4 linked regions of the Elephas maximus indicus genome follow. The protein of the gene in region 4 interacts with the protein of the main gene of each other region in a pairwise test. Links are inferred from orthologs where the notes say so. Each region holds a gene or a part of one and is shown on either strand. Other genes may lie near its edges.

Region 1 (7,828 bases), on a different chromosome or scaffold from region 4:
GCAACTGGTGGATTTGAACTGCTGGCCTTTTGGTTAGCAGCCGCTCTCTTAACGACTACACCACCAGGGCTCCAATGTTAATAACTAAATATATGGGAGCTTACCACATGCTAGACTCTGCTAAGGCTTTACATGGGTTACCTCATGTAATCTTCCCAGCCTATCAGGAAAGTATTATTATCCCTATTGTACTAAGGCCTAAAGAGCTCAGGTGATTTGCTCAAGGTAACACAGCTAATGGGTGTAGAATTCAAACACAGGCAGTCTTATCTGCAGTCTACACTCTTCACCACTACTTGGTAACATCTCCCAAAATATACTACTATGTTAAACAAAGCTATCAGGTGCCTGTTAAGTTATTCTAAGAACCCATAGTCCCTACCTATGCTCCAGCATTTACACTGTCTTTCCAGTGTGTGGGCTACATACCTATTCCCACACTGCCACTGTCTTTCAGTCTTTTTGGAGCTCCCCTTTTGAAACTGTCCAGCTTAGTTAAGGCATTTTTATTTAGCACTTAATGCGTAACAAAGGGAGTCCCCGGGTGGCACAAACAGATCAAGAGCTATGCTGCTAACTGAAAAGTTGGTGGTTTGAGTCCACCCAGAGGCACCTGAAAAGAAAGGCCTGGTAATCTATTTCCAAAAGATCAGTCATTGAAAACCCTATGGAGCACAGTTCTACTCTGATATGCATGGTGTCACCATGAGTCAGAATTCATGGCAACTGGTGATGCCTGCAGAATCACTATGAGTCGAAATCGACTTGACGGCAAGAGTTTTTTTTTTTTTTTTGTAACGCCTAACAAGTAGATTACACATGTCCTGACAGCTCTGCAAGATAGGTTGCCCTTATTTTACAAATAAGGAAAACAAGGCCTGGGTTTCCTGTCTGACGTTACACAGCTAGTAAGAGATAGAGCTAAAATATGAGCCCAGATTGCCTGACTCCAAAGTTAGTCCTCTTTCTACTGAATAACTAAGCTGCATTTCTTTACATGCAGTGTTTCTCCTTCTGGACCCACAATGGCATTATCCAACTTACATACGGAATTTCTCCAAAGTGGTTAAGATGGCACAAGACATTCAAAACTAAGACTACTAATGTTGACTTACTACAGTCAACTCGTACTAAGATCTGTAGATTGTTCACTTATTACAGGCATTGTAGACAATGTTTAAAGCTAATTAATGGGCACCACTGGAATAATTCTTAGCCTCCCAAAGTGACAACTCTAAAGGGTAATAAAACTTTCATTTGAGTTTAAAGACAGTCTCATAGTATGTTTAGAAAAATTGGTTGCATTATAGTCAACCCTCCTAAGCAAGAGCCCACTGCCGTTGAGTCAATTCTGACTTACAGTGACTCTACAGGACAGAGTAGAACTGCACCAAAGGGTTTCCAAAGAGTGGCTGGTGGATTTGAACTGCCGACCTTTTGGTTAGCCGCCAAATGCTTAACCACTGTGCCACCAGAGTTCCAGTTAGGGATAAGAATGGTGACCAATCTCTTTGGGCCAAATTCTACACACATTTCAGATAACTCAGAGCACTGTTCACATTTCTATCGTGAAGGTCAATTACTTGAAGACCTAACTGATACCTTGAGTCCCAACAGAAGTGTTGCGCGAAGAAGTGGCCTTATCTTGCTTCTTGATACTATAAGAAGTAAAATTCAAACATGGAAGCTTTTAAGGCAGTCTCAAAACTCCGCCTTCTGCCAGAAGACATCTTTGACCTCTCAAACCCTAGACTGCAATAGTGAAAACCACCTCTAAAACTTGTTGCCCATTTACTCAATGCCGGCCAGCCTGTTACTAATAGCTTTACGTGGACTATCTCATTTAACTCTCCCGACAACCCTATTAGGTGTTATTAGGTGTAATTTACATATGAGGAACCAGGCACTGAAAGGGTTAGTTACTTGCTCAAGTCAAATACAGTAAAACCTGCAAAAGCCGGAACCCATATCAGAGAAGGAAAACTCATATATTTTCCACTAAGCCGAGCAACAGAAAAGTGTTAATTAAGAGTGCACCCTGTCAAAGGCGTAAAACTTGAGAGACCTGGAAACACAAGGCAGTTTCTGTCGAGTTCCGGCTCTCACAGGTTTCACTTTAGCTAGCAAACAGTGGATACAGCACTAGTACTCAGGCATTTCAGAACTGCCGTTCTTAATTATTACAGTCTTCAGTCTCTTACAGCTCCTTGTGCTTGCTGCCATAAGGCTGCCCACACCCTACCCCTTGTCGCAGTTAATTAAAAACTACACCCCCTGGAAGTTAGAGGCTGGCTTTTGGCTTTATTCCCCAACCCCAGAGCACTTAATGAAGCGCCAGGAACCGATAATGTGTTCAGTCGTATTCGTTGAACTGAATGACACATAGGTAGGAACTGTTCTAATGGGTAACTGTGGACAGACGCGACAAGGTCCCACCCAGGCTGTGAGCCGCAGTCTTTGCAAAGGCTGCGAGCACACTTAGAGACACTCTTCTCTCCGGTCAACCTGAGTTTTCTGAAGGAAAGACCCAGCCGGCTGCCCTTTCCCTCGGCCTCCTTCCTCTTGAGGTCAAAATTCCAGCCCTCCCGCCGCAGTCGCACTTGGGTAAGACCACACTCTCCCTCTCACATTTGCTCCTGAGCCCGGGCTCCTCCTGCTAACATTCAGAGGGATGGGAGCCCCTTACCGTCATTGCGCTATCCCCTCCGTAGAAACATGTGCCAGAAATGACATGCGTGCAGCCATCTTCCCGGAAGTGCTGCCTTGGTACTTCTAGGCTGTCGAAACCATAGAGACGCCCGAGGAAACCAACGTCCGGGTCCTCCCAGGAGAAACTCTATGATGGAGGGCAGCTTACCTGTGTGCTCACCATAGGAATTGGGCCCTGGAGTGTACCCGTTTCCGGAGGTTCTGGAGGGGTTCGGCTTGCTTCCTCTCTGCAGGTTCTGAGCGGCCAAGGGACGATGGCTTTCCCAAAAAGCTGAGAACAGCTTCGGGTCCCACCTTCAGTTAGTCCTGGGCACAAGATGGAAAACAAGGGGAAGCACCGAGTTACCTGAGAGATGGCAGAGAAGGAGGTAGCATTTCTGCGGTGATTTTGCGGGGACGAATACTCAGCCTATAGGAAGTTATTTATAAAAGCCTAAAGGCTAGAGATTTTAGTAGGTTCATCAAACACTTTTTTGACTCATTACGATGTCCCAGGACCTGTGCCTTTGGTATTCGGGATACAAAGATGCCTAAGACAGGAGCCCTGATTGCGGGGAACACCATGCTAACCACGGAAGTTGGGACCTTCGGTGGAACTGGAGGAGATGGGGTTTAGGGCACGGAGAGAGAGAGATGCAGGATCCAGGAATGAATGACAGGCTGAGCAGTTTTGGACTTGCCTTGTAGGTAATGAGGACCTACTGAGCAGGGGAGGGGAAAAGATTTTACAAAGAAACCAGCAAAAGGGGTTGCACCTGCCCCCCCTCCCACAAGCTATCCTTAGGCTTCACTCAGCCACCCTTTCCGAACAGTGCCCAGGAACTAAAACCTGTTTAAAATCTTTCTTATCCTCCCGCCCCATGTCAATACTTTCCTTCACTTAGCGCCCCCTAGGAACTTCCGAAGAGAAAAATCGCCATTTCACAGTGAAGAGTTCCTATTACAACTGCTCAGTATGTCATATCCCCTTGTCTCCGTAAGATTTTTTCCATAAAATTAATTTTACTTTTAAAATATGTTACATGGGGACAATACTTTAAACAATGGATCTTGGTTACTGAAATTTTAGATGCTTGCAGAAGGGTTGTGGGATGTTTCAAGGGACTCCTAAATTCACTAGAGGAACATTCTGTGAGCTGAGTCCCTTTCCCACTCTACCACTAATTGTGTGACCTTGAACAAGTCACTTCTCGTAGCCCAAGAGCACCCCTTCCCTGATTTGTAAAATTAGGGTATTGGACTAGTTCGATAATTTTGCAAACTTAGTTTTATTTCAGTGTCTGAGGAGCCACTGAGAAAATTACATACACAGGACTTAAGTTTTCATCACCCCTCCTCCATCTCTTCTACCACTCCCATGTCTTCTACCACTTCTCTTTTATATTTTAATGTGCATGTGTATAATTTATAATATGTTTGTATGAAATGTAATGTATACAAACATTGAATACTTTGAAAACTCCTAAGTGAGGTAACCTCGAGAGCCCTTTCCAGCCCACAATTCCTGTGTGGCATACTTTGCAGGCCACTCTGAAAATTAGGTGGCTGTAAACCTTTAATTTAAGACTCCTAGTCTGGCCTAGGACCTTCAGCTCTCTGCTTTGCTGACCCATTCATTCAACAAACGTTTATTAAGGGTCTCCTATTTTTTTTTTTTTTATTGACCAGGGGGAAACCCTGGTGGCGTAGTGGTTAAGTGCTACAGCTGCTAACCAAGAGGCTGGCAGTTTGAATCCTCCAGGCGCTCCTTGGAAACTGTATGGGTCAGTTCTACTCTGTCCTACAGGGTCACTGTGAGTCGGAATCGACTCGACGGCAGTGGGTTTTTGTTTTTGTTTTATAGACCAGGGATTAAAACCAGACCAAAACCCGTTGCTGTTGAGTTGATCCCAAAGGACAAAGTAGAACTGCTCCAGAGAGTTTCCAAGGAGTGGCTGGTGGATTTGAACTGCTGACATTTTGGTTAGCAGCTGAACTCTTAACCACTTCGCCACCAGGGCTCCATAGACCAGTGATTAAAGATCTAAAAGTATTCAACCCTTGTCCTTTTGGGGCTAATAATCTTGTCCACACAAAAGCCTGCATATGAATGCTCATAGCAACATTATTCATAATAATCAGAAAGTGGAAGCCCAAATGTCCATCAACTGATGAATGGATAAACAAAATATTGTATAGATATACAATGTAATATTATTCAGCCATCAAAGGGAATGAAATACCACATTCTTCTCCAGCATACATGGATCATTCTCTAGAAAAGACTGTATCTTAGACCGCAAAGCAAGCCTCAATAAATTAAAAAATATGAAAATAAGGCAAAGCATCTTCTCAGATCAAAACGCTGTAAAATTAGAAATCAATAACAGGAAAAAATCAAATACTTGGAAACTGAACAATGCCACTCTTAAAAACCACTGGATAATAGAAGTTAAAAATGAAATCTAAAAATTCCTAGAATCAAATGAAAATACAACATATCTAAACTTTTGGGAAAGAGCAAAAGCTGCTCAGAGGCCAATTTATAGCAATAAATGCACACATCAAAAAAGAAGGGCCAAAATCAATACCTTAGCTATACAACTTGAACAAATAGGAAAAGAGCGGCAAAAAAAGCCCACAGCCAGCCGAAGAAAGGAAATAATAAAGACTAGAGCAGAAATAAGTGAAACAACAATTGAAACAATCAACAAAACTACAAGATGGTTCTTTGAAAGGATCAATAAAATTGACAAACCACTGGCCAAATTGACAAAGAGAAATATAAATAACCCCAATAAGAAATGAGATGGGCAACATCACAACAGAATCAACTGAAATAAAAAGGATCATAACAGAATACTACAAAAAATTATGCTCTAAAAATTTGAAAACTAGAGGAAATGGGCAAATCCCTAGAAACACACTACCTACCTAAACTAACACTGAGGTACAAAATCTGAACAGACCCATAACAAAAGAAGACATTGAAGAGGTCATAAAAAAAAAAAAGAAAAGAAAAAACCCTGGCCCAGACAGTTTCACTGGAGAGTTTTACTAGACATTCAGAGAAGAGTTGATACCAATACTACTCAAACTATTCCAGAACATAGAAAAAGAAGGAATACTCCTGAGTTTGTTCTATGAAGCCAGCATAACCCTGATATCAAAGCCAGGCAAAAAAAAAAAAAAAATTTTTTTTTTTTTTTTTTTTTTTTGGCAAAGGCACCACTAAAAAAGAAAATTATAGGCCAATATCCCTCATGAACATTGATGAAAAAAATCTTAAACAAAATTCTAGCCAATAGAATCCATGAGCATAAAAAAAAACCAAAAACATGACCAAGTGGTATTCATACCAGGTACACAAGGGTGGTTCAAAATCAGAAAATCAATCAGCGTAATCCACATAAATGAAACAAAGGAAAAGAATCACATGATCATCTCAACTGATGCAGAAAAGGCATTTGATAAAAGTCCAACACCCATTCCTGATAAAAACTCTTACCAAAATAGCGATAGAAGGGAAATCCCTCAACATCATTAAGGGCATATACAACAAAACCAACAGCCAACATTATTCTCAATGGACAGAGATTGAAAGCATTCTCCCTGAGAATGGGAACCATACGAGGATTCCCTTTATCACTACTCTTATTCAACATTGTACTGGAAGTCCTAGCTGGAGCAATAAAACAAGAAAGGGAAATAAAAGGCACCCGTATTGGTAAGGAAGAAGTAAAACTATCCCTATTCACAGATGATATGATCCTATACATAGAAAATCTCAGAGAATCCACAAGAAAGCTACTGGAACTGATAGAAGGATCCAGTAAAGTGACACAGTACTAGATCAACATACAAAAATCAGCTGGATTCCTCTACACTAACAAAGAGAACTCCAAAAAGGAAATCAGGAAAAGAATACTATTTACAATAGTTCCCCAACTGGCATAACATAGTTCATAAACAAAATATCCAACATCCCACTTTGGTGACATAAAACACTTATACAAAGAAAACTAACTACAAAACACCACTGCAAGAAACCAAAAGAGACATTCATGAATGGAAAAACATACCATGCTCATGGATAGGAAGACCTAACATTGTGAAAATGTCAATACCACAAAAGCGATCTATATATACAATGAAATCCTGACCCAAATCCCAACAACATTCTTTAACGAGATGGAAAAACTAATCATCAACTTTATATGGAAAGGAAAGAGCCCCCAGATAAGTAAAACATTACTGAAAAAGAAGAACAAAATAAGAGGCTTCACACTACCCGATCTCAGAATCTACTATACAGCTACAGTAGTCAAAACAGCCTGGTACTGGTACAACAACAGACACATAGACCAATGGAACAGAATTGAGAATCCAGAAATAAATTCATCCACCTATGGACACCTGATCTTCAACAAAGGGTAGAAATTCATTAAATGGGGGAAGAGACTGTCTCTTCAACAAATGGTGCTGGAAAACTCGATATCCATTTGCAGAAAAATGAAACAGGAGCCATACATCTCCCCATACATAAAAAGTAACTTGAAATAGGTCAAAGACCTAAATGTAAAACCTAGAACTATAAAGTTCATGAAGGAAAATATAGGGACAACACTAGGGGCTCTAATTTATGGCATAAATAGAATATTAAGCATAATTAAAAATGCACAAACTCCAGAAAATAAACTTGATAACTGGAACTTCTTAAAAATTCAATATTTATGTTGATCAGAAGAATTTTCCATAACAAGGTGTGTATAAATTTTTGTATGAGAAACTAACTTGAGCTGTAAAGTTTCACTTAAAGCACACACACACAAAAAAAGACTTTTCCAAGAGAGTAAAAAGAGAGCCTAAAGACTGGGAAAAAATCTTTGGAAACAACATATCTGATAAAGGATTAATCTCCAAAATATTCAGAAAACTTCAACAACTCAACAATAAAAAGCAACCCAATCACAAAATGGACAAAGGACATGACAGATACACACCAAAGAGGATATTTAGGTGGCCAACAAATACATGAAAAGATGCTCACCATCATTAGCCATTAGAAATGCAAATCAAAACCACTATGAAATAACATTTTCCCCCTGCAAGAATGGCATTGATCAAAAATTCAGAAAAC
Region 2 (7,456 bases), on a different chromosome or scaffold from region 4:
GCATGTCCAGTGCTGCCAGGACCCATTTCAGAGCTTCTGGCTCGTTAACTCTCCCAACTGAGGCTTCTGGGTTTTTTTTTTGTAGGAGCGATTACCTCCCTGTTAGAGCTAAGGCTGGTGCCAAGACTGCTTTCCTTAGCCCACTAATCTCCCTGGACCCAAGTGTAGAGAGCCCCATCAAAACCAGTAACCACATGAATTATACCTCAACAAAGATATTATAAATAAAAGCAAAACAAAAACAACTCGAAGTAACCAAAGGTCTCCAGGGACCCAGGCTCAGTGTAGAAGACTTGAGAACCTTTTGCGGGGTCTCACCTTTTGCCGTTCACATAACACCCAAACCCTTCTCTCTCCTTCCTTCTCTTCCTACTCGCCACACGTACCTTCTGCAAATGTGCATAATTAGTAGTACATTCTGGTGGCTTTGCTGAGTTGGGGTGTACCTGGATGAGCTGTACCCTGAACACTGGCAACTCTGTCCTCCCTCTTTTGGTCCCTGGAGTCAGACCAGCTACTGATGAAGGAAGTGGATCTCCCCTCACAGCCACCGCTTCTCTTCTTCCCGAAACTTCACTACCACCACCCTGGGAACCTTAATTCCTGGGCAGGCCAGGGAAGGGAATCTCAGCTTCACCAGATACAAGGAATTTTCGAGATGGGCCCTCATGTTTATTTATAGGCCAAACAGACTGGACAGGTAGCAGCCTCTCTGCCCCTTTATTGAAACTTTGCTGCTCATCCCAGCTCAGTCCGGAATTCTCTGCAGGATTCTTGTTCTCTCTCTCTGATCATGCTCCTCATTTCACAGAGTCATGAGTGCGAAATTCTCACTGCCTGAGAGGAGTTAGGTGGCCAAGCCCTGGATGCTCTCAAATGCCTGACCCTCCAGAGTTTGAGGGGCACAATGAATTGTGAAGTTTTTTTTTTTTTTTTTTTAAATGTTTGTCCTCTGTGTATTATCCCTGAACAGCAATCCCCTTTGTTCAGACTTGTTACCCCTATTCTGTGGGAGTCTCTTGACTTTCTACCAGTCACTTCTTTCTATAAAAACTTAGTAAAATATCTGAGTGGCCCATCTGTACTAAGGTATGGAGGAGAGTCAGGAATATTTGCATGTCAGCTCTCTGTGCGAACTTATACTCGTGGTGTCCCTAAGCCATATCACCGCAACCATTCTGCCCTGGCTCTGAAGTCAGACTGTGTGGATTCATTTTCTGGCTCTGTCACCTTCTACCTACACTTTTTTGGACAAGCAGCTAAACCTCCCTCGGCCTCAACTTCCTCATTTATAAAATGGGGCTAGAATCTACCTGGTAGGGTTGTGAGGATTAAATGAGAAAATGTATATGAAGCACCTGGCACATAGTACACAGAAAATGTTAGCCTTATATGAGGTGTTTTAATTATTACCCCTGCCATTCTTTTTTTTTATTCTGATCTTGGGTGTTCTTGAAGGCTCGTTGGTGAAAGACAAAGACCCCAAGCTAACCTAGCCCTCTTCCAGGACCAAGAATGCCTCATTCTCTAATTCTCTGAACCTTCTCTTTCTCTGAAGGAAATTGAGAGGATGCCCCAGCTTGAAATCAAATGTCCTTCTCCAGTTTATCTGGCCTTTGGGTTTGGGCCACCAGGAGAAAGGGCTCCTCTGTCGTCTTGGTACAACCACAGTCTCAGGCCAGACAGGAAGAACAGGTGGGGGTGAAGAATTGGGGTCCAGCCTGCCTGAATCCCACCCATCAAATGTGAAGTTCTGGTTCCCCTCCCTGTTTGGCCCCAGGTTACTCTCAGGCTTTTTAGTGGAGGCGAATCCCCTTATTCAGAATCCTCCCACCTCCCTGTCGCAAGAGGGAAGGGCTGGTGGGGGTGGAGACAGGGGTGGGGTGGGTGGGGGAGGGCGGGGAGCTGAGATGGGTCTGTCTGGGTTCTCTACCTAGTCTGGGTACATTGGTGCACCGAACAAATGACAGAGGGGTAGATACCGGAACTCATCGTCCAAGAGGGGAGTCACAGTAGAAGTGGCTCCTTAGAGCAGACCTCCCAGGTCCCCAGACCCCTACATCCGGTGTGGCACAGACAAGTAGAACCATACCCATCTTTCCGACTTGTCTAAACCTTTCTGACTTGCTTAAAAACAAGAAGCCATGTGGGATGCCTGATTGACAAGGATGGGCTGTAGAAGAAAAAGGAACTGGTCCCTGTGGGGTTCAAAGAAAGGTCACTGGGCTGCTGCCCAGGCTTGCTGGCATCTCTGGGTGCCCCTTGGTAGCATGACAGGGCCCAATTGGAACTTGGAGGAAGAGGTGGTGCTGGGTGGGTGAGGCTCCCTCTCTGCCACAGAGAAAAAAATTCGGAGCGACTGCACCTCACTCGAGAGGGGCTTCCTGGATGTGTGTGCAGCAGACAGCAGATGGCTTCCTGCATAGGTCTGGCCTTGCTTACCCAGAGCTCTCAGTGTGAGCTGAGGAGAGAAGGGCCAACATCTAAGCTGCTTCATGTTGTGGGCATCCCCTAAGTCTTTTGATTGCTTCTAATCTAGGAGGGATGGATACTGTACCCCTGTGCTGTGGCTAATGCCTTTGAAAATCAACACAGGGCCCTTTCTTGGTTACTGAAATCGATGACTCTTTTAAACTATGCCACCCACTTCTGTGTCTCCCTCTTCCGCCCTGGGCAGCCTGGATGACAGAATATCTTCTGTCTTCTGTCCCCCCCCCCCAGAGTTGGAGGCCTCAAACCTAGATGCAAAAGCATCCTTCTTATCAGTTACCTCTGGGTACCAGGCTCCAGCCCCAACAGCTCAGGAAAGCATGCCAGCTCCTGGGCAGATCTTGGCTCTGGTCTCAGATGGGGTAAGACAGCAGCTGAGTGAAGTGCAAGCTCTCAGTCCGTGGCCCTGGGCCCCATCGGCATTTCCCTTCTTGGTAATGTCTTTCTTTTTCTACAGCAGCCTTGCTGAAACAGGAAACAGACAAAGCCACAGTACTCATAAACCCCAGTTCCTCTCTCTTGCTCTCTGGCACGATTTGAGTGGGCCCCAGAACTCTTCAGTCCTCCAGGGCTGGGCTCAGGAGCTCCTCCCATCAGTGGGCACCCCAGCCACCCTTTCTCTTGCTACTGTATTGGCTGGAGCTACTCCACTCACAAGTCAAGCTCCCATTCCAGGATGAGACAAGGATGGACTTCTGGATCAGATTCAAACCCTGTAGTTTCTTTAAGGGGAAAAAAGCCATTTGGGTGGTGGGACCTAGAAGAGGTGCTCCCAGTGTGGGCCTTCATGTGTATCAGGTAATTCTCTGTATAAGGCTTTTCTCCCTCTTTCAGTCATCTCTCCCCAACCCTGGTGTTGTAGAGTTTCCACTCTTCTAAAGTACCTGCTGTCTTCCTCAGAATTTTGAAATGAGTTCAACTGTGGGTTTGCTTCTTTTTGAAGCAATGAGGAGGGAGTGAAAAGGTGGTGAGTGGGTAACTGAAGAATGAAGGGAGGAATGGTGGGCAGAATCTTTTTCTTTTTTAGGCCACTTAAATTAATAGAAATTTATTCTCTCACAGTCCTGGAGACCAGAAGTTCAAAACCATGTTATCAGCAGGGCCATGTTCCCTCTGAAGGCTCTAGGGGAGAAAATCTTTCCTTGCCTCTTCCAGTTTCTGGTGGTTCCTGGCAATTTTTGGTGTTCCTTGGTGTCTTAGTTTTCTAGTGCTGCTGTAACAGAAACATCACAAGTGGGTGCTTTAACAAAAAAGAAGTTTATTCTCTCACAGTTTGGGAGGCTAGAAGTCCGAATTCAGGGTGCCAGCTCCAGGGGAAGGCTTTTTCTCTCTGTCAGCTCTGGGGGAAGGTCTTTGTCCTCAATCTTTCCCCATTATAGGAGCTTCTCAGTGCAGGAACTGTGGGTTCAAAGGACTCACTCCCCTCCTGGTTTTTCATTCTTGGTAGTATGAGGTCCCCCTGTCTCTCTGCTCACTTCTCTTTTTTATGTCTCAGAAGAGATTGACTCAAGCTACAACCTAATCCTGTAGTTTGAGTCCTGCCCCATTAACATAACTGCCTCTAATCCTGCCTCATATACATCAGGTAGGATTTACAACACAAAGGAAAATCACATTAGATGACAAAATGGTGGACAGTCACACAATATTGGGTGTCTTAGTTATCTAGTGCTGCCATAACAGAAATACCATAAGTGGATGGCTTTAACAAAGAGAGTTTATTCTCTCACAGCCTAGGAGACTAGAAGTCCGAATTCAGAGCATTTGTTCCAGGAGAAGGCTTTCTCTGTCAGCTCTGGAGGAAGGTCCTTATCATCAATCGTCCCCTGGTCGAGGAGCTTCTCAGGTGCAGGGACCCTGGGTCCAAAGGACACACTCTGCTCCCAGTGCTGCTTTCTACGGTGGTCCCCATGTCTCCCTGCTCGCTTCTCTCTTTCGTATCTCAAAAGAGATTGGCTTAAGACACTAACCTTGTAGATATCATCAACATAACTGCTACTAATCCATCTCATTACATCATAGTGATAGGATTTACAACACATAGGGAAATCACATCAGATGATGAAATGGACAGTCATACAATACTGGGAACCATGACCTAAGTTGACAGATATTTTGGGGGGACACAATTCAATCCGTGACACTGGGAATCATGGCCTAGCCAAGTTGACACACATTTTTTGGGAATACAATTTAATTCATAACACTTGGCTTGTAAATGCATAACTCTAGTCTCTGCTTCTATGTTCACATGACCATCTTTCCTAATGTCTGTGTCTCTTTTCCATTGTATATTTAAAAAAATTTTATTGTGATGAAAATACATGTAACAAAACATACACCAACTCAGTTTCTACATGTACAATTTAGTGACATTGATTACATTATTCAAGTCGTGCAATCATTCTCTATGTTTTCCAAAATCATTCCATCACCATTAACATAAACTCAATGCCCCTAAGCAAAAATTTCCTCCTTCTCCTTCACTCCCACCCCTGGTAAGTACTAATAATCTTTGGTCTCTATATATTTGCTTATTTCATATAAGTGAGATCATACAGTATTTGTCCTTTCGTGACAGACTTATTTCGTTCAGCATGATGTTTTCAAGGTTCACCCATGTGGTGGCATGCATCAGGACTTCATTTCTCTTTATGGCTGAGTAGTATTGCATTGTGTGTATATAGCACATTTTGTTTTTCTTTTGTCTTTTGAGGGACATTTCGGTTGTTTCCACCTTTTGGCTATTGTGAAAAGTGCTGCAGTGAACATTGGTGTACAGGCTTCTGTTTGTGTTCCTGCCTTCACTTCTTCCGTGTTTACACCTAGGATTGGGATTGCTGGATCATATGGTAGATCTATGTTCAGCTTTTTGAGGAACTGCCAAATAGTTTTCCAAAGCGGCTGCACCATTTTATATACCCACCAGCAGTGGATAAGAGTTCTACTTTCTCTGCAATCTTACCAATACCTATTGTTTCCTGTTTTTTTTCTTTTCTTTTCTTTTTTATCATTGCCATTCTAATAAGGGTGAGATGATATCACGTTGTGATTTTGATTTGCATCTCTTTAATGGTTAATGCCACCACACGTCTGTCAGTTTGTCTTACTGTGGTGGCTTGTGTGTTGCTGTGATCCTGGAAGCTTTGCCACCAGTATTTCAAATGCCAGCAGAGCCACCCTTGGTGGACAGGTTTCAGCTGAGCTTTCAGACTAAGAGTAGGAAGAAGGACCATGCGGTTTACTTTTGAAAAAACTGGCCGGTGAAAACCTTATGAATAGCAGCAGAACATTGTCTGATATAGTGCTGGAAGATGAGCCCCTCAGGTTGAAAGGCAGTAGTAGAGGGTCTGCAAAAAAGAGGAAGACCCTCAACAAGATGGGTTGACACCGTGGCTGCAACAATGGGCTCAAACATGTCAGAATAGCACAGGACCAGGCAGTGTTTGGTTCTGTTGTACATGGCATCACTATGAGTTTGGAACTGACTCAACAGCGTCTAACAACAACAATTAATGATGTTGAGCATCTTTTCTTGTGCTTGTTTGACTGTCCTCTTTGGTGAACTGTTCAAGTCCTTTGTCCAAGTTGTATTAGGTTTATTTTTCTGTTAAGCTGGCAGAATTTTGTAAAACATTCTTTCTCCCAGTCAGATGGACTGCTTGGAGAAAAACTAAAAGCAACTTATCTGCGTGCATTAAAAAGAAACCATTACAAATTTTATATTCAGGAAATTCCCAAGAAATTCAGCATAAAATATTGGAGAAGGACCTGAGCTGGGACAAGTTAGCTGAGTAGCTTTGTAACCTTGTGCAGTTCACCTTGTTTAAATGATCCATTTAGTTTGGTGGTCGGATGATTTATATGGCTCCTGTGAACCCTGGTGGCATAGTGGTTAAGAGCTATGGCTGCTAACCAAAAGGTTAGCAGTTTGAATCTACCAGGTTCTCTTTGGAAACCCTATGGGGCAGCTCTACTCTGTCCTATAGGGTTGGTATGAGTCGGAGTCCACTCAACAGCAATGGTTTTTTTGGGTTGTGAACTCTAAGGTTTGATACATGTGAGGTGTGACTTGTAAAGGAATGAGACTATTAAATAGCTGCAATAAGATAAAATCTATTAACATACATATGTGGGGTTGTCACAATCTTCTTTTCCTATTTCTTCCACCATTCTTTGAGGAGAAAAAAGACAAGGGATACAGGGAAAGCACAGGGGGTGGATTATTGAGAGAAAAGCACTAGAACAGAAGACAACATTCCCTCAGGATTATGTGTTTGGAGCATGACATATGGGGATGAGAATGAGTAAAGGACAGATGGTGGAATGAGAGAGAGAATTTTGTTGGCATAAACAAGTGAGAGAGCTCTGGGAGCCTAGGGCAGTAGAGCATAAGAGAGCATAGGAGATTGTGATAGGAGTTACTGTAGACCAACTATTTGGAATTCATTAGAAATAAAAAACAAATGTGTACAAAAATCAAAAGCTCTTTTAGGGCTATGCAACACTCAGTGGCATACTATACCATACTATACCTACTTTACCTGGGGTTTGGAGAGACTAGTAATGTACTCAAGGTCACACAGCAAGTGTTGGACCCAGGTTTGCTTGACATGAGAGCCTGTGCTCTTAACACTGTGCTCTAAGAACAATACAATTAATAAGATTGTCTTATCTATTCGTCAAGGAAGAACCAGAGAGAAAGAGGGTCAGAGAACGAACTCTGGACTTAGAGAATATATCTTATTTTCAAATATTGACCATATCGATCTAAACCAAACCTGAATACACTAACAAAAAAAAAATGTATTATAGCTGGATTCTCTGACCAAAGTGTAATAAAATTAGACATAAATAACATAAATAGGAAGAAATGAATACTTCAACAGCCTGGAAAAAAATTCTCCCTGTTTACTCTTGAAATGGTGTTGTTAGGTGCCATCGAGTTGGTTCTGACTCATAGCGA
Region 3 (7,977 bases), on a different chromosome or scaffold from region 4:
TAACATTAATTCAAAGAAGCAATTTTAAAATAAATTCTACTTACGGCTGCACGTCGGACATACACAGGATGAGAAAGGTGTACATTGTTAAGAAGAAATAAGATAGAATCCAACGTGTAATACTCTCTGGGTTGGCCTTCCTTTCCAGTCCTAAAATCATTAAGGCAAGATTTTTACCAACAATTCTAATTCAACAATTTGAGCTTAATTTAAGGTACTCATTTATTTATACCCACTTTGCTGCTTAACAATGGATTTAAAATAGCTATCCAAAACACACTAAAGTATATAAATTGACTACTAAGTCAAACTGTTTTTAGGACAAAAAGAACACAAAGGAAAACGAGGAGAAAAAGCAAGAAAAAAGGAAAGCACGCAAAATTCACGCTCTTTGGTACTATAAACTTTTTAGAATTAGGCTCAGAACTTTGTCAATAGCAAGAGAAACCTAACCAGTTACAGATAAGGGAGAACTTATATGAGAAACAACGAAATTGTTAAGGAGAAGCACAGCTATGATTGGTGCTACAACTTAAGACAATTTTATCTTACGGCTCTTCCTAAAGTAGATACTGCTGAACAACATCCTCAACAATTCTTACAGTAACCGACAATGAATTTTAGAGGTACGCTTCTTACGACACCCCTCAGATTAGACCAGTGACGTTACCCAAAATGCAGCCGCACCTAGGGATGCAGCCTCTCTAACTCAAGCATATTACTTGCCAAACCAACGTTGGCGTCTGATCCCACTCCTCTTACTTCATTCTCCCACCCAGAAGTGAAATGGTCAGTATATTATTAGAATTCATCTGAATGCAGCCCACTGCAATTAGCCCTGAATCTACTTACCTAGCTTCTATTCCTATTTTTCCTTTAAATCAATGTATTTCAAGCCACACATCGCTATGCTATGAAATCAAATACTGTATGGGTAACTACCAGGCTTTCTTTGTTTTTGGTGATATAGAAAAGAATAGAAAAATAACAATGCACTGCATGCAACAAGAGCTTTAATGTTATATCTATTTACGTAGCTATAAAAATGTTAACGTTTGCACGTATAGATATATATGAATGAAAATATATTTCTTGGTTTGAGTCATTGTTCTGAAAGTTTGAAACCTACTGTTCTAAGCATGCTTTTTTCACTGTTATTGTTATCTGTGAACACATTTACTTTCCAGCTCTCATGCCTCTATACATGCAGTTCTATCATCTTGGAAGACCTAACCCACCGTTTTACTCACAGAATTCCTGCCCGTTCTTTAAAGATTATTCATTTATTCAAGAAAAATGTATTAGAAACCAACATGCCAAACTTACATCTATGAAATTTTTCCTAACATCCACCCGACTGAAGTGACTGCTTTCTTTTTATGAGACAGAAAACACTTCACATCAATTTATGTTATCGTCTCTATTCACATTAAATAAACCTCCTCTGAGGCAGGGATCAAGGTCTTAAGAATTTTTCTATTTCTCACATTGATTATTGAACTGCCCTGCACCCTGGGTATTCCTAAACCACTTTCCTAGAGAAGAAAAAAAATTAAAAATTCAATCATATGTAATCTTGTCCATGCAAATTATTTTGTAAAGATTAAAATAAAAAATTTCTTTAAAACTTCCCACAGTAAACTGAGAATGTCATTTCACTCACATTTCATAAAGCTAAATTAAATCATAAGACCTCGAGATAAAAATAAAAACAAAAGAACCAACCAACAAACAAAATTGCCCTTAACTTCTGGGCAACTCTTCATAAAGCCCACTGCCCCGCTTCACTCTATCTTTCCCTCAGTCAAACAAAGCTGGATATGGAAGTCCTGGTTCAAGGTTCTAACGCCCAAAGGAAGCACCAAAGAAAAGTGGCGTCACTATTTTTTTTAATGATTATTAGACCTGTCTCTGGATGTTTCGCTGAGTGATTTAAATTCAAGAAACCCCACGTGGATCAACGTTCCAAGCCATTTTTCTTTAACTCACACTTCCCAAAACCATGCGCATCTTCAATTTCTTAATTAGACCTATAAAACACTCACTCCATTCCACTACCAACTTTTTCCCTGAGGAAACGCCTGCCTCCGCCTCCAACACAGATTTTGACGACTCTTCCAAATTAATCTAAACCGCTTCCCACCTAAACTTCACAGAGTTGATTCCCTTCTCTCTTAAGGGATAACCCCCCTCTCCAACACGAAAGGGGAAGAAATAAAGCAGGAGCTGCAGGGCCAGGGGAGACAGTCACCACACACGGCAGCATCAAAGAAGAGAAATAAAGAACAAACAGGGACGTCCCCGGCACCAAATGATGTGTTCCTTTGTGCACCTACGCTCAGGTGTACTTGTGCACCAGCCCTACACATTACGGGTACTCGATACATACCTACAAAAATGAACGAGAAAAGTCACCTTCTTCTATGGCTTCCCCAATTCTAAAGAGGTGGGTCGCTCCAGACACAGCGTCTCAGCCCAAAGTGCAACTTCTGCTCCGGACAGAAACTTTTCGCCCGAGCACCCTGTTCGTCCCCGTCCCCAGGGGAAACGGGAGGAGGGCTCAGCAAAGAGGTCACTTGGGGGCGCCCAACTCTTCCCTGCCGCCCGGCCACGGCCATACCGCACTTACCCCCACACCACATAGTTGGTCTTGACGTTCTTGGGCCAGGAGAACTCCCCGAAGATCACTTCGTCTCCCTTCACCACGATCTCCTTCTTCTGGATGTTGTACTGTCGCAGGACGCTGAGCACGTCCGCCATCTTCCCCCCCCTCGCCGCCGCCGGACCCGGGCGCCGCCGCCGCCGCCGCGCCTGCCTCCGCCTTCCTCCGTCGGCTCGTCGTCCTCAGCGGCCGCCGCCGACGCTGCCGCGAACAGACAGCGGAGCAACTAGCAGCCGCCCTCGCCTACGACAGCAGCGGGAGCAGTAGCCACCCAGGCCGCCGAGGACCCCGCGCTAGAAGGCAAAGGCCCCGCCGCCGGCTGCCCGCGGAGAACGCCTGACTGCACGCCTCCGGCGCTGCGGGCCGCCGCCAGGGGGAGCCGTGAGCGCCCGGGAAAATGCCCCTCCCAGACTTCCACTCGACACCGAACGCGGAGCGCAGGGACTCTGTGCCCACGTACGGCGCACGTACAAGGAGTATTGCCGGTTACCCGCGCACGCGCGCGAAGCACGTACTTCATCCCCCGCAGCGCGCACTCCACAGGCGACAGGTGCGCGCGCACCTGCGTGGCTGGTGTATCCTTCTCTCCCTGGAGCACTCGCTGAGCCCTGTGCAACCTCTTTGGGGGCGGCCAAAGGCTCTCGCGTCGCTACTTTGCGAGGGTGGAGCTTGGCCAAGGATTTGCAGGAAAAGTAGGATTACCTTCCCATCTAGATATGACCTAGATCTACCAAAAGGCCTCTAAATGTGATCCAGATAAACTCCTTTAGAAGAGTTTTTTTCGGTGGACTGTCTTAGTGGAAAAGACCGAGTACGGCAGACCTCAATTCCGGGAACCACTATTTATTAGCTGTTGTTTGAGTTTGGTCAAATTACAAACGTTCTCACAGCAGCACCAATTGGTTTAATGGATAAAATGGGATTAATATACAGATATTAGCTTCAGGGATGTTATGAGGATTGTATGAGAATAAGGTGAAAGTGTCTACTAAATCATCAAAATAACATAAATGTTCTCTTTACACCCTCCATTCCATACATGGAGTCCTGGTGGCACAGTGGTTAAGAGCTATGATTGCTAACCAAAATGCTGGCTGTTCAAATCCACCAACCGCTCCTTGGAAACCCTATGGGCAGTTCTGCTGTGTCCTGTAGGGTAGCTATGAGTCAGAAGGGACTCAACTGCAATGCTTTTTTTAGTTGTTTTAATTCCACACATGACTTTCCCCATTTTGGCCCTTTCCCTCATCCCTATTCCCAATGGGCTACAAGGGCCCTGTTCTGAGATACTAATGGAAAAGTTAAAAACCAGGAACCCGAAACTGTTGTCAGTAGAAGAACACTTTCAGACAACCTGATTTTTGCTGGCACCCAGAAGACTCAATGAGTGTCCTACCAGTGTTGGGAAAGTTGAAATAAATTCAACCTGTGTACTCTAAGCAAAATGTATATCTTGGGTCCCATAATTTTGTTATAATTATTCTTTCTACTAAAGTAAAAGGGGGAAAAAAAGGAAGGTGATTGACACACCCAAATTCCTTCTCCTGATTTGAAAGAAATAAATTTTTGCTATGTGCAATAGGAGATGATATAAAAGTATGTGGTTCATTGCTGTACTATCTGTAGTCATTCTGCAACTGTGAATTTGATACATTTTACCTGTTTTGCACATGTTCTCATGTTCTCACCCCTAGGATGATTTCCTGAATCTCACTCAAAACAAACCCACTCTAACTGACTACTGTCTTATCCCTACACAGCCTACTCTATTCATACTTTGATCAGTGCAGCCAATATTACTTGACTGCCCTTATTAGTTTACTAACCTGTCTTTATCTACAAAACTAAAGGGCTGTAGACCTTTACTGTCATATCCTAATACCTTGCACATTATTTAGCATATAACATGCCCTACTATTATGTCAGTGTGTCATACTGTAGTGGCTTACATGTTGCTGTGATGCTGGAAGCTATGCCATCATATTTCAAATACCAGCAGGATCAGCCTTGATGGACAGCTTTCAGCAGAGCTTCCATATTAAGGCAGACTACAAAGAAGGACCTGGCAATCTATTTCTGAAAAAATTGGCTATGAAAACTTAACAAATAGCAACAGAACATTGTCTGATATATTGCCAGAAGATGAGCTCCTCAGGATGGATGTCACTCAAAATACAACTGGGGAAGAGCTGGCGCCTCAAAATAGAGTTGACCATAGTGACATGGATAGAGTAAAACTTTTGGGACCTTCATTTGCCGATGTAGCACAATTCAAAATTAAGAAGAAAAAGCTGCAAATATCCGTTAATAATGGGAACGTGGAATGTACAAACTATGAGTCCCGGAAAACAGGAAGTCATCAAAAATTAAATGGAACGCATAAAGATCAATATTCTAGGCATTAGTGAGCTGAAAGGGACTGGTAATGGCCATTTTGAATCAGACAATCATATGATCTACTATGCTGAGAATGACAAATTGAAGAGGAATGATGTCACGTTCATCATCAAAAATAACATTTCAAAATCTATCCTGAAGTACAACACTGCCAGTGATAATATCCATAAGCCTATAAGGAAGACAAGTTAATATGACTATTATTCAAATTTATACACCAACCACTAAGGTAAAAGATGAATAAATTCAATATTTTTACCAAAACGGATGTCAGAAGACTCTGAAACTTGCACTTGAACATAGACTACATAAAGCAAATGAAGAAATGACGAACTAAAGGAACTGAAGATTTCAAAAGGCAGCTCGAGAAGACAAAGAATTATAATGAAACATGCAAACACCTGGAGTTATAAAACCAAAAGGGAGTAACACACTTGGTATTTCTCAAGCTGAAAGAACTGAAGAAAAAAAGTCAAGCTTAGAGTTGCAATATTGAGGAACTCAATGGGCAAAATATTGAATAACGCAGGCATCAAAAAGAAGATGGATGATGGGGCCAAGATGGCGGGGTAGTCAGACGCTTCCGGTGATCCCTCTTACAACAAAGACCCAAAAAAACAACTGAAATGATTATATATAGGACAAGCTAGGAGCCCTGAACATCAAAGGCAAAGTTAGGAAATCAGACTGAGTGGCAGGGGAGGGAGAGACAGTTCAGAAGCAGCAAGGAGTTGCCAGACCTGACTCTATGGAAACCAGCAACCCTCAGGCACGATCCACTACAGCAACCGTGGCAGGGCTGGCTGTAGCGTTCCAGATGCTGCTTACTCAGGGAGAGACAGTGCACTGCACAGTCTACTCACACCTCCGGAAGCAGAGAAGAACAGCACTCTTGACAAAAGCTAAGTATTGCGTTTATTTTACCATGAAACCAGCCCTCAAACTGGCTTCAGTGGTTGTCGAGATCCCTAGGCCTGAGATAGGTCTTACTGCACGCCTTAGCCATTCTCCCAGCCATGGAGAAGGAATAAATTAACAATTAGGGGGAAAGATAATCTGCCAGCTCCACTAAGATGGGGGGCTCAGGACAGAAGCAGCTCCTGTCCAGGCACAAAGAGGCTGCAGACTTCGAATAACTTTCACCCCTATGCAGACCCGTGTGGGCCCATTTCAGGAGAATAGGCCTTTGTTGGCAGACTGCAATGGTGTATGTGCTTGAGATCTGGTTTCAACTGTTTCAACTGTGCAGTGGAGGGGAAGGTTTTGGTCTTTGACAGCATTTTGCCTGTGAAACAGGGTCCTCAGCAGCCCACATCAGGGGCTTGAGGATTGGTGGCTCCACCCACATCATCTAGTCACCGCAACAGGGGTCCAAGGATAAGTGGTGCCTCCCAGTCCTTACAACCAAAAGCATTAGGTGCCCATGGTCCAGCTACAAAACCCAGCCACCTGTGTGCTCTAGGGAAGAATCAGTCTTTCCTCACAGATGCTTGGGAGATAGTTGTCAGCCCCATACCTTGTTCAAAGCATGACCCCCTGCTGCAACCAGATACCGGTACCTACACCAATCACCCCTGCCCCTCTAAGACTGTAGGACAGAGTCTGTATCACACACTTGATGACCAACTACCTGGACACCTGAGCTGAACCCATACAAGAAAAGTGAATGGGCTCCTAGGCTCATAAACCTGGTGACAGCTCTAGCCACTGGTCACAGAACGTTAGTGCTTCAAAGGCAAAACTAATCAAGCTAGCTCATTCACATAGCCTATTTTGGCATATCAAAACAAAACAAAGAAGCTAGGATACAGTAAACAAACTTAAAATAAACTGATATAATAGCTTAAAGATGGCTTGGAGACATCAGTCAATAACAAATCACATAAAGAAGCAGACCACGATCACTTCAACAAGCTCTAAAAACAAAGAATCAAGGAATCTTCCAGATAAAGATATCTTTCTGGAACTGCCAGATGTAGAATACAAAAGATTAATATACAGAACTCTTCAAGAAATCAGGAACGAGATCAAGCAAAACGCAGAGCAAGCCAAGGAACACACAGATAAAGAAGCTGAAGAAATTAAAAAGGTTATTCAAGAACATAATGAAAAATGTAATAAGCTCCAAGAATCATAAGATTAACAATAAAATTACAGATATGAGAACTCAATAGAAAGTCAGCAGAGCAGAATTGAGGAAATTGAAGCCAGAAATAGTGAGATTGTAGATAAAACACTTGGCACCTGTGTATTTGAAGAAAAATCAGATAAAAGAATTTTTTAAAAAATGAAGAAACCCTAAGAATCACGTGGGACTCTATCAAGAGACATAACCTATGGGTGACTGGAGTACCAGAACAGGGAGGGATAACAGAAAATACAGAGATAATTTTTGAAGATTTGTTGGCAGAAAACTTCCCTGATATTGTGAAAGATGAGAAGATATGTATTCAAGATGCTCATCAAACCCCACAAAAGGCAGATCTCAAAAGAAAGTCACCAAGACATAATCGAACTTGCCAAAGCCAAAAATAAAAAAGAATTTTAAGAGCAGCTAGGGATAAATGAAAAGTCACCTACAAAGGAGAGTCAATAAGAATAAGCTCAGACTGCTCAGCAGAAACCATGCAGGCAAGAAGGCAATGGGATGACTTATATAAAAAATTGAAGGAAAAAAATTACCAGCCAAGAATCATATCCAGAAAAATTGTCTCTCAAATATGAAGGTGAAATTGGGACATTTCCAGATAAACAGAAGTCTAGGGAATTTGGAAAACCAAAACCAAAAATATAAGAAATACTGAAGGGAGTTCTCTGGATAGAAAATCAATAACATATCAACCCAAGTTTAGTACACAGGACAGAGCAAACAGTTATCAACCCCAATAGGGAAATCACAAAAATAAAACAAGATGACA
Region 4 (6,852 bases):
CTAACTGAAAGGCTGGTGGTTTGAACCCACCAGCAGCTCTGTGGGAGAAAAGACCTGGTGATCTGTTCCCATAAAGATTACAGCTTTGGAAATCCTATGAGGGCAGTCCTACTCTGTCACATGTAGTCTCTGTGAGTTGAAAATCAACTCAATGGCAGCCAACAAGGTGAAGGTAAGATGGGTTCGGTCTGTGTATGTGAAGCTCTTATGTCATGGGGTCTGTTCTGGCCACTGCTGTATCCACAGTGCCTGCAGATAGTAGGTGCTCAATAGATGCACGCCTGTCCTGGCCTCAGAAACCTGTGGGGCTGGGCCCATCCGGGCCATCTGGGCTCTGCCTCAGACAAGGGGTGGCATCTGAGGCAAGGGACTTGACCTCCTTGAGCCCGTTTCCTCCTCTGGAGAATGGGAATGGTGTTACCTCCCTCCTAGGGAAGGAATGATGTAAAATCCAGAAAGCTCCTGCCGGCACTTAGCAGGTGTCAGTCCTGTTCTGGGCGTTTCACATGGATTAACTCATCCCACCATGTGGGTAGTCAGTACTATTAGCCCTACTTTACAGATGAGGACACCGAGGCACAGAGAAGTTACAGACTTGCCCAAGGCCACCTGTTGAACATATGAGCCTCTTTCTCATCCCTCTAACTCTTCAGAGGTTCTTCAGTGAGCTAAACTGGGCATCCCTCTGGCTTGAACCCATGCTTCTAGGTTTGGCCTAGAAGAGGGGCAGGAACCCACAGATAGGGGAGATGCCAGGGCCTGTGCCAGGGGCTTTCCCTTAAGTCTTATCTTCTCCCTGTACCCGATCCCACGGGCTCTGAGGATCAGAACTCATCTATACCCTCCCTTGATGTCTCTCTCTGTGTCTCTGTCCCTGCCTCTTCTAGATGGCTTTCTCTCATTCATTCGCCCAGTCTGTCTCGCCTGTGTCTTGCCTCTCCAGGTCTCTTGCCCTCATTTGCTTCCCTGTCTCCCCTTCTTCTCTCTTCTCTTCCCATCTCTCAGTGACTCTCCTCTGCCCAAGCCTTCTCTTTCCTTCCTCCAGCCGTCTCTCTGACTTTTTCCCCTCCTGCCCTTCTCTGTCTCCATCTCCCCCTTTGGGTGTGTTCCTCTCTCTCCTCAGAGCCTCCTGAAGCTGTTTCAGTTCTTGCCTGCGGGTTCCTCAGTGTCTGCACGCCCTCTGCTGGTGCAGGAGAAGTTTAGCCTGGCCAGGCAGCCCTCTGGTTTCCGCAGCCTGGTCTCTGCCTTGGAATTCCTATCTGGAAAGCCTCCTGAGGCCAGAGTCAGGCCTGGGGCGTGGGGCCTTGGGAAAAGAAGCTGGCTCTGCTGCTGACAGCTGGGAGCCTCTAAGAAAGGGACCCTGCCTCCCCCATTAGACTGGACTCTCCCAAAGATGGGAGCCCTGCCTCCTCCTTTAGACTGGGCTCTCCCAGATGGTAGGAGCCCTGCCTCTCCCATCAGACTGGGCTCTCCTAGAGGGTGGGAGCCCTACCTCCTTCTTTAGACTGGGCTCTTCTAAAGGTGGGGGACCTCCCTCCCCCTTTAGACTGGGTTTTCCCAGAGGGTGGGAGCCCTGTCTCCCCTTTCAGACTGAACAAAGGGTGGGAGAGCTGCCCTCACATCAGATTGAGAGCCATCAGAGGGTGCTTATAACACAGTCTAGATGGTTCTACCACTTCTAGGCGTGTGGCCTTTGGCCAAAGACTTTCAAGGCCTCAATTTTCCCGTTTGGGAAAAGCGAGAACAGGAATGTTTTGCTTTGAGGAGCAGTTTGGTTTTGAAATCACTACCATTTGTGGAGCGCTCACCCTGTCCCAGCTTTAAGGCTGCACCACATCGTCACAACACCCCCTGAGGAGTCTCAGTAGGGGTAACCCAGTGCCTTCCTCCCAAAGCAGCTTTTATACCCACTTGGTCTGCATTCTCCCAGTCATTCAAATAATAATTATTGCATTCCTACTATGTGCCAGCCATTGTTCTAGAGCTATGTTGCCCGATACGGCAGCTACTTGCCACTGCGGAGAGTGCAAACTGAGATGCTGTTAGTGTAAAATACACACCAGCTCTTGAAGACTTGGTATGAATAAAAGAATGTGAAATAATCTCATTTGCTGTACTGATTATAGGCTGAAAGGGTACTATTTTGGGTATAGTGGATTAAATAAAATGCATGATTGCCATTTATTTTGCCAGTTCCTTTTTACTTTTTTAAAAAACGCGACTACTAAAAAATTGAAAATTACAGATGTGGTGCATATTAGCTTCTACTGGATGGCACTGCTCTAGGGACTGGGAATCGCAGAGTGAATGAAAGAGACCAAAGCGCTGCTCACATTCCCGTGGCGGAGACTGAGACTAAACTGACAAATAGATGTCAGTGCTGTGAAGAAAAGCAAAGCAGAAAAAGGGAGAGAGTGTCACAGGGCAGCTGTCTTCTGTGAAGTAAGGTAACATTTGGTTTGAGATCTGAATAATGTGAGGGATGAACCTGCAGGTAACTGGGGAAGGCAGTTCCAGGCCGGGGAATAGTGCGTGCAAAGGCTTTTGCTCTCACCGTCTGGCCTCCCCAGAGAAACAGGACAAGGTGTACAGAAGGGTGGGCACACCGAACCGAAGTGAACCAAACCAGCTGGATAGAGTAGAATTGCCCCAAAGGGTTTTCTAGACTGTAATCTTTACAGAAGCGGACTGCCACATCTTTTCTCCCAAGAAGCCGCTGGATGAGTTTGAATCTCGGAGCTTTGGGGTAGTAGTCAAGTGCTGAATTACTTCACCACCAGGGCTGCTTAGGTGGGCACACAGTAGGTACTTAATCAATGTTTGCTTGCTCCTTCCCTCCCGCCCCTGCCCCAAGGTGGAGATTCAGCCACACAAGCCAACTTTCCCAAGTCGTCACTGGGGCCCGCCCTGTTAACCCACTGCTCGCTGCTCAGCACTGACCCCCCACGCCAGCCAGCCACTTACTTGCTGCAGCAGGGCCACCAGCCCAGCCCTCAGGTAGGTCCATGGGCCACTCCGCCCGCTCTGAAGCTGCGGGCAAAGCTAACAGCCTCCCTCCGTCAACAGGGGGGGCAGGGAGGGGACTGGCTGCCTCGAGAGCTCCTGGAAGGACAATCAGAGAATGGCTTCCTCCGACTGGGCACCCGCAGATGGGGGCCTGTGCCACCCTGCCTATGCCCCAGGCTGCTCTCGGGTCTCAGAACCTGTTTGCCCACCCCCGCCTGGACCAAAGCAGTGCCCGCTCTGACCTGTTTTATGGACTGGAGGTGTGGGCTGGGAAAATGGGGGCCTGGGGCGCAGGCAGCAGAGATCAAAGCGGGGGGCTAGTGAGTAGGGGGCACTGCCTCCTGGTCAGGGAGAACAGGGTGGCCTCCTTGCCTCCAGTTGTCCCCACAACCCTGGCTCAGGCCTCGTCCTCTCCCCCTGGACCTAGCCTCCACCTAGCCTCCTCTCTGGTCTCCCAGCCTCCAGTCTCTCCTCTCTAGTCCCTTCTACACATGACCCCAGAGTTGACCTGCCCTTCCTTGTTCAATACCCTCCCATGGCTCCCCAGCACCCCCAGGACAGAGCCCAGCTCCTGAGCCTGGCCTGGCCTCATCCACCTCCCCACCCCAAATCCCACTTAATGCTCTAGCAACTCAGAACTGCATGCTGTTCATCCTTCCCCAAGCCACTATCACAGGAACTGACTCGTCAGCCCTTCCTGCTTTGGCCTGGATGTCCACTCTGGGAAGATAATTCTGATTTCCACTCCTGGGCTGAACCAGGCACTGTCTCTGGATCCCCACACTGCCCTGAGCTCCCGCCATTATTTACTGCCAGATCAGTCTGTATTGGAACTGTTGGCTTCTCACAAGTTTGACCCCATCCCTGCTCCCAAACCTCTCATGGCTTCCTAGTGTCACCAGGACTGAATCCCAGCCCCTCGGGCTGTTGTTCAAGGTCTTGCACACAGGAGTCCCTGAAACATCCTCTCTCTTTTTGCTATTTTTCTCTCCAACAGCCCATTCCCGGGTCCCTCACCCTCATCATGGCAATGGAAGTCCAGCATCTTCCCTCCATACCTGGTCCTGGTCCTCTTCTGGATTCCCAGCTAGAGGCCAGTCGTTCCAGGCCTTGGCCATATTCTGGGTGCCATTCCCACCCCCAGCCCGGCCCCACTCACAGTTCCCCTGGGACACGTTCCCTGAGTCCCTGGGGCAGCCTGGGACTCCTCAGTGCTCCGACAATGTCCTGTGCTGCCTCCATTATAACCAGGTCTACCACTTGACTGATCCTCCACAATACCAAACGGTGCCCACTGGGCTGAACTGAGCATGCCAGGGTGAATGGTCAATGTGATTGTGACCCTAGGGCCATATGGGGGCTCTCTGTCTCACTGGGCAGTGGGGAACCCCTCAACCCACCTCCTCAGACCTCTGTCCTTACCAAATACTCCCAACACTCTGCTCTCCCCAGCGCCAATCGGGATCCACAGCTGAAAGTCGCACGCTTCTCCGCGGCTTATAGAAGGTCCTAGAAAAGAGGGTCTTTGAAGAGAGACCCTTCCAGGGTTTGGACAACCCTTGAGGGTGCAAAAGGTGGCAATGGTTGTGGGGCTTGAGTGAGGAAGGGTCCCTGTTGTGGCACTGACAGGAGCCAGAAGCTCTATGACAGAATTTGGGGACTAACTTCTGAAGAGGTCTTGAGGGGTCTCTGGTCAGATAAGGGTCCAACAAGACTTCCGATGGGAAGCTGCAGTGGGAGGGGGTCTCGGCAGGAATTCTGGGAGGTCTCTGACTGGATTTTGGGAAGTCTCTGACAGGATTTCTGTGGTTCTCTGACAGGACTTTGGGGAATCTCTGACAAGATTTCTGGGGTGATCTCTGGATTTTGGGAAGTTTCTGATAGGATTTCTGGGGAAGTCTTTGATAAGATTTCTGGAGAGGTGTCTGGATTTTGGGCAGTCTTTGACAGGATTTCTGGAGGGGGTCTTCGACTAGATTCTGGGAGTCTGACAGGACTTTTGGTGAGTTCGACAGGCTTTCTGGGGATCTGACAGGATTTTGGGGTCTCTGCTAGGATTAGGGGTGTAACAGGATTTCAGGGAGTCTCTGACAGGCTTTGAGAGAGGCTGACAGAACTTCTAGAAGATTCTGACAGGATTTCAGGGGCCACCTATAAGATTTCTGGATGGGTTTCTTCGAAGGTTTCTGAGGGGATTCCGCCATGAGTTCAAGAGGACTCTTAACAGGATTTGGAAGGCCCTGATATTGAGTCAACGGCAACGGGTTTTTTTTTTCCCCCGGCATATTGAAGAGTCTCTCTCTTTGAGGGGTTTTGCCAAGATTTCGGGAAGGGCTCTCCCCTGGGGCTATTCTGGGGAACCTCGCCACACGCAGAGTGCACCTGAAGCCACGTCTCGGGACCGGCCGAGGGCCACTGACGACGAAAGGCGGTTGCGCGCCAGGGGAAGGGAGGGAGAGGAAGGGGTGCGCGTGCGCTTTTCCCGCCAGAAAAAAAGCAAAGAGGTCGGGGAGGGGCGGGGCCGAGCGCGCGCGCGCAGCGTCTAAGTCCCGCCCAGCCGCCCCCGCCTCCTCCCGCAGCTCAGGCGCACTCCTCTGGAAAGGCGAGAGCGCTTCGCGTCTGTTACCTGTAATGGCGAGGTCGCGCATGCGTAGGGCTGCCGGGGCGCGCGTCCAGCCGGTTGGAGCGGGCGCGTGCCCATTGACCGAGCTGGTGAACGATGGGTGGCTTGTGGGTGGTGGGAGGGGGGAGGGTACGCGGCGCCGGGGTCTTCTCCGGTGCCTTAAACTTCTGTGAAATGGGTCTGAGCAAGGGAGAATTGGACTGAGGGGCCTCTCCGCCATCCGCCACTTCTTATCAGTTGTCGAGCCGTGCCCAGCCGGCCCTCTGTTTCGTACCAGGCTCCCCATCACCGTCACAATGATGTTCCACCCCCCGGCTCACCTGAACCTGCGTCTGCTCCCGCACCGTTTCCTGGCACCAGTCACGCTGTCCTAATAGGTCCCCGAAGGAGTCTTTCCCAAGAGAGAGGGGGAAAAATTATTTTCAGCTTTTCTGGCTAGAGAGAGGAAGAGAACTACATCCAAATGTGACTCCCAAGAAGGCACGGAAAAAGAATCCTCTTGTCCACCTCTTGTTCATCCAACCAGTCATTTCACCTGTCACTTACTCAGAGAGGCAAACAAAAATCATATTAAGCCTTTAATAGAAATCGATTGAAGTGTATTTAACATAGGTTTTACAAATTGAGGCAACATTTTTGACTAGAAAGTAAAAAATGTTCCAAAGAAGAAAAGAGTCCAAAGATTCTTATACCACATCTTGTCACTAGTAATTATATGTTGCCATGGAAATAGGGCCTAAACAGCATTTACATAACTCGTGGACATAACCCCAGTTTGACCTTTGGAGTTTATTTTGTTGAAACTGTACATAGATAATTCCTTAAAAGAGCACAATGCCCAAAGCAAAATGTTCTTTACTATTAATACGTTTAAAAGAACTACTAACGAGTCAGAATTTACTTGATGGGAATGGGTATTGTTTGATTTAAGGCAGTTTTCTCAAGGCTCAAGGCTCAAAGATCATCTTAGGGTGATAGCTTGGGTGGGTCACTTCAACCTTGATGGAATCCAGAAATCTGGATTTATACTATAAATATAATGTAAATATCTATATTTATATTAAAAAAATACAACTATTCAGATGATCTAGTTCACTTTTGGCAAGCTGTGGTTTTCAAGGAATTTGTCCATTTAATCTAAAATTTCAAATAATTAGCATAAAATCTTTCATAATATCAGCCCAGAAATCTGGATTCCACAAGAATTAAAAACTTCATTCCTC

Evidence for each region.
Region 1: the proteins of KASH5 (region 4) and GPATCH4 interact in binary tests that used the Homo sapiens proteins (3 or more experiments, as listed by UniProt). The two-hybrid records come from large-scale screens. The link is inferred for Elephas maximus indicus from reciprocal best matches to the Homo sapiens genes KASH5 and GPATCH4.
Region 2: the proteins of KASH5 (region 4) and TRAF3IP3 interact in binary tests that used the Homo sapiens proteins (3 or more experiments, as listed by UniProt). The two-hybrid records come from large-scale screens. The link is inferred for Elephas maximus indicus from reciprocal best matches to the Homo sapiens genes KASH5 and TRAF3IP3.
Region 3: the proteins of KASH5 (region 4) and CDC73 interact in binary tests that used the Homo sapiens proteins (3 or more experiments, as listed by UniProt). The two-hybrid records come from large-scale screens. The link is inferred for Elephas maximus indicus from reciprocal best matches to the Homo sapiens genes KASH5 and CDC73.

What each region holds. Positions count from the first base shown.
Region 1 is NC_064821.1:194,355,432-194,363,259, forward strand, and holds the start of GPATCH4 (G patch domain-containing protein 4), read right to left. Parts: upstream 3,001-7,828; 5' UTR 2,687-3,000; intron 1-2,686.
Region 2 is NC_064836.1:20,811,014-20,818,469, reverse strand, and holds the start of TRAF3IP3 (TRAF3-interacting JNK-activating modulator), read right to left. Parts: upstream 3,010-7,456; 5' UTR 2,771-3,009; intron 1-2,770. UniProt on the Homo sapiens protein: Adapter protein that plays essential roles in both innate and adaptive immunity. Plays a crucial role in the regulation of thymocyte development.
Region 3 is NC_064842.1:58,646,273-58,654,249, reverse strand, and holds the start of CDC73 (parafibromin), read right to left. Parts: upstream 3,005-7,977; 5' UTR 2,761-3,004; coding exon 2,630-2,760; intron 151-2,629; coding exon 45-150; intron 1-44.
Region 4 is NC_064829.1:99,849,820-99,856,671, reverse strand, and holds the start of KASH5 (protein KASH5), read right to left. Parts: upstream 3,008-6,852; coding exon 2,965-3,007; intron 1-2,964. UniProt on the Homo sapiens protein: As a component of the LINC (LInker of Nucleoskeleton and Cytoskeleton) complex, involved in the connection between the nuclear lamina and the cytoskeleton.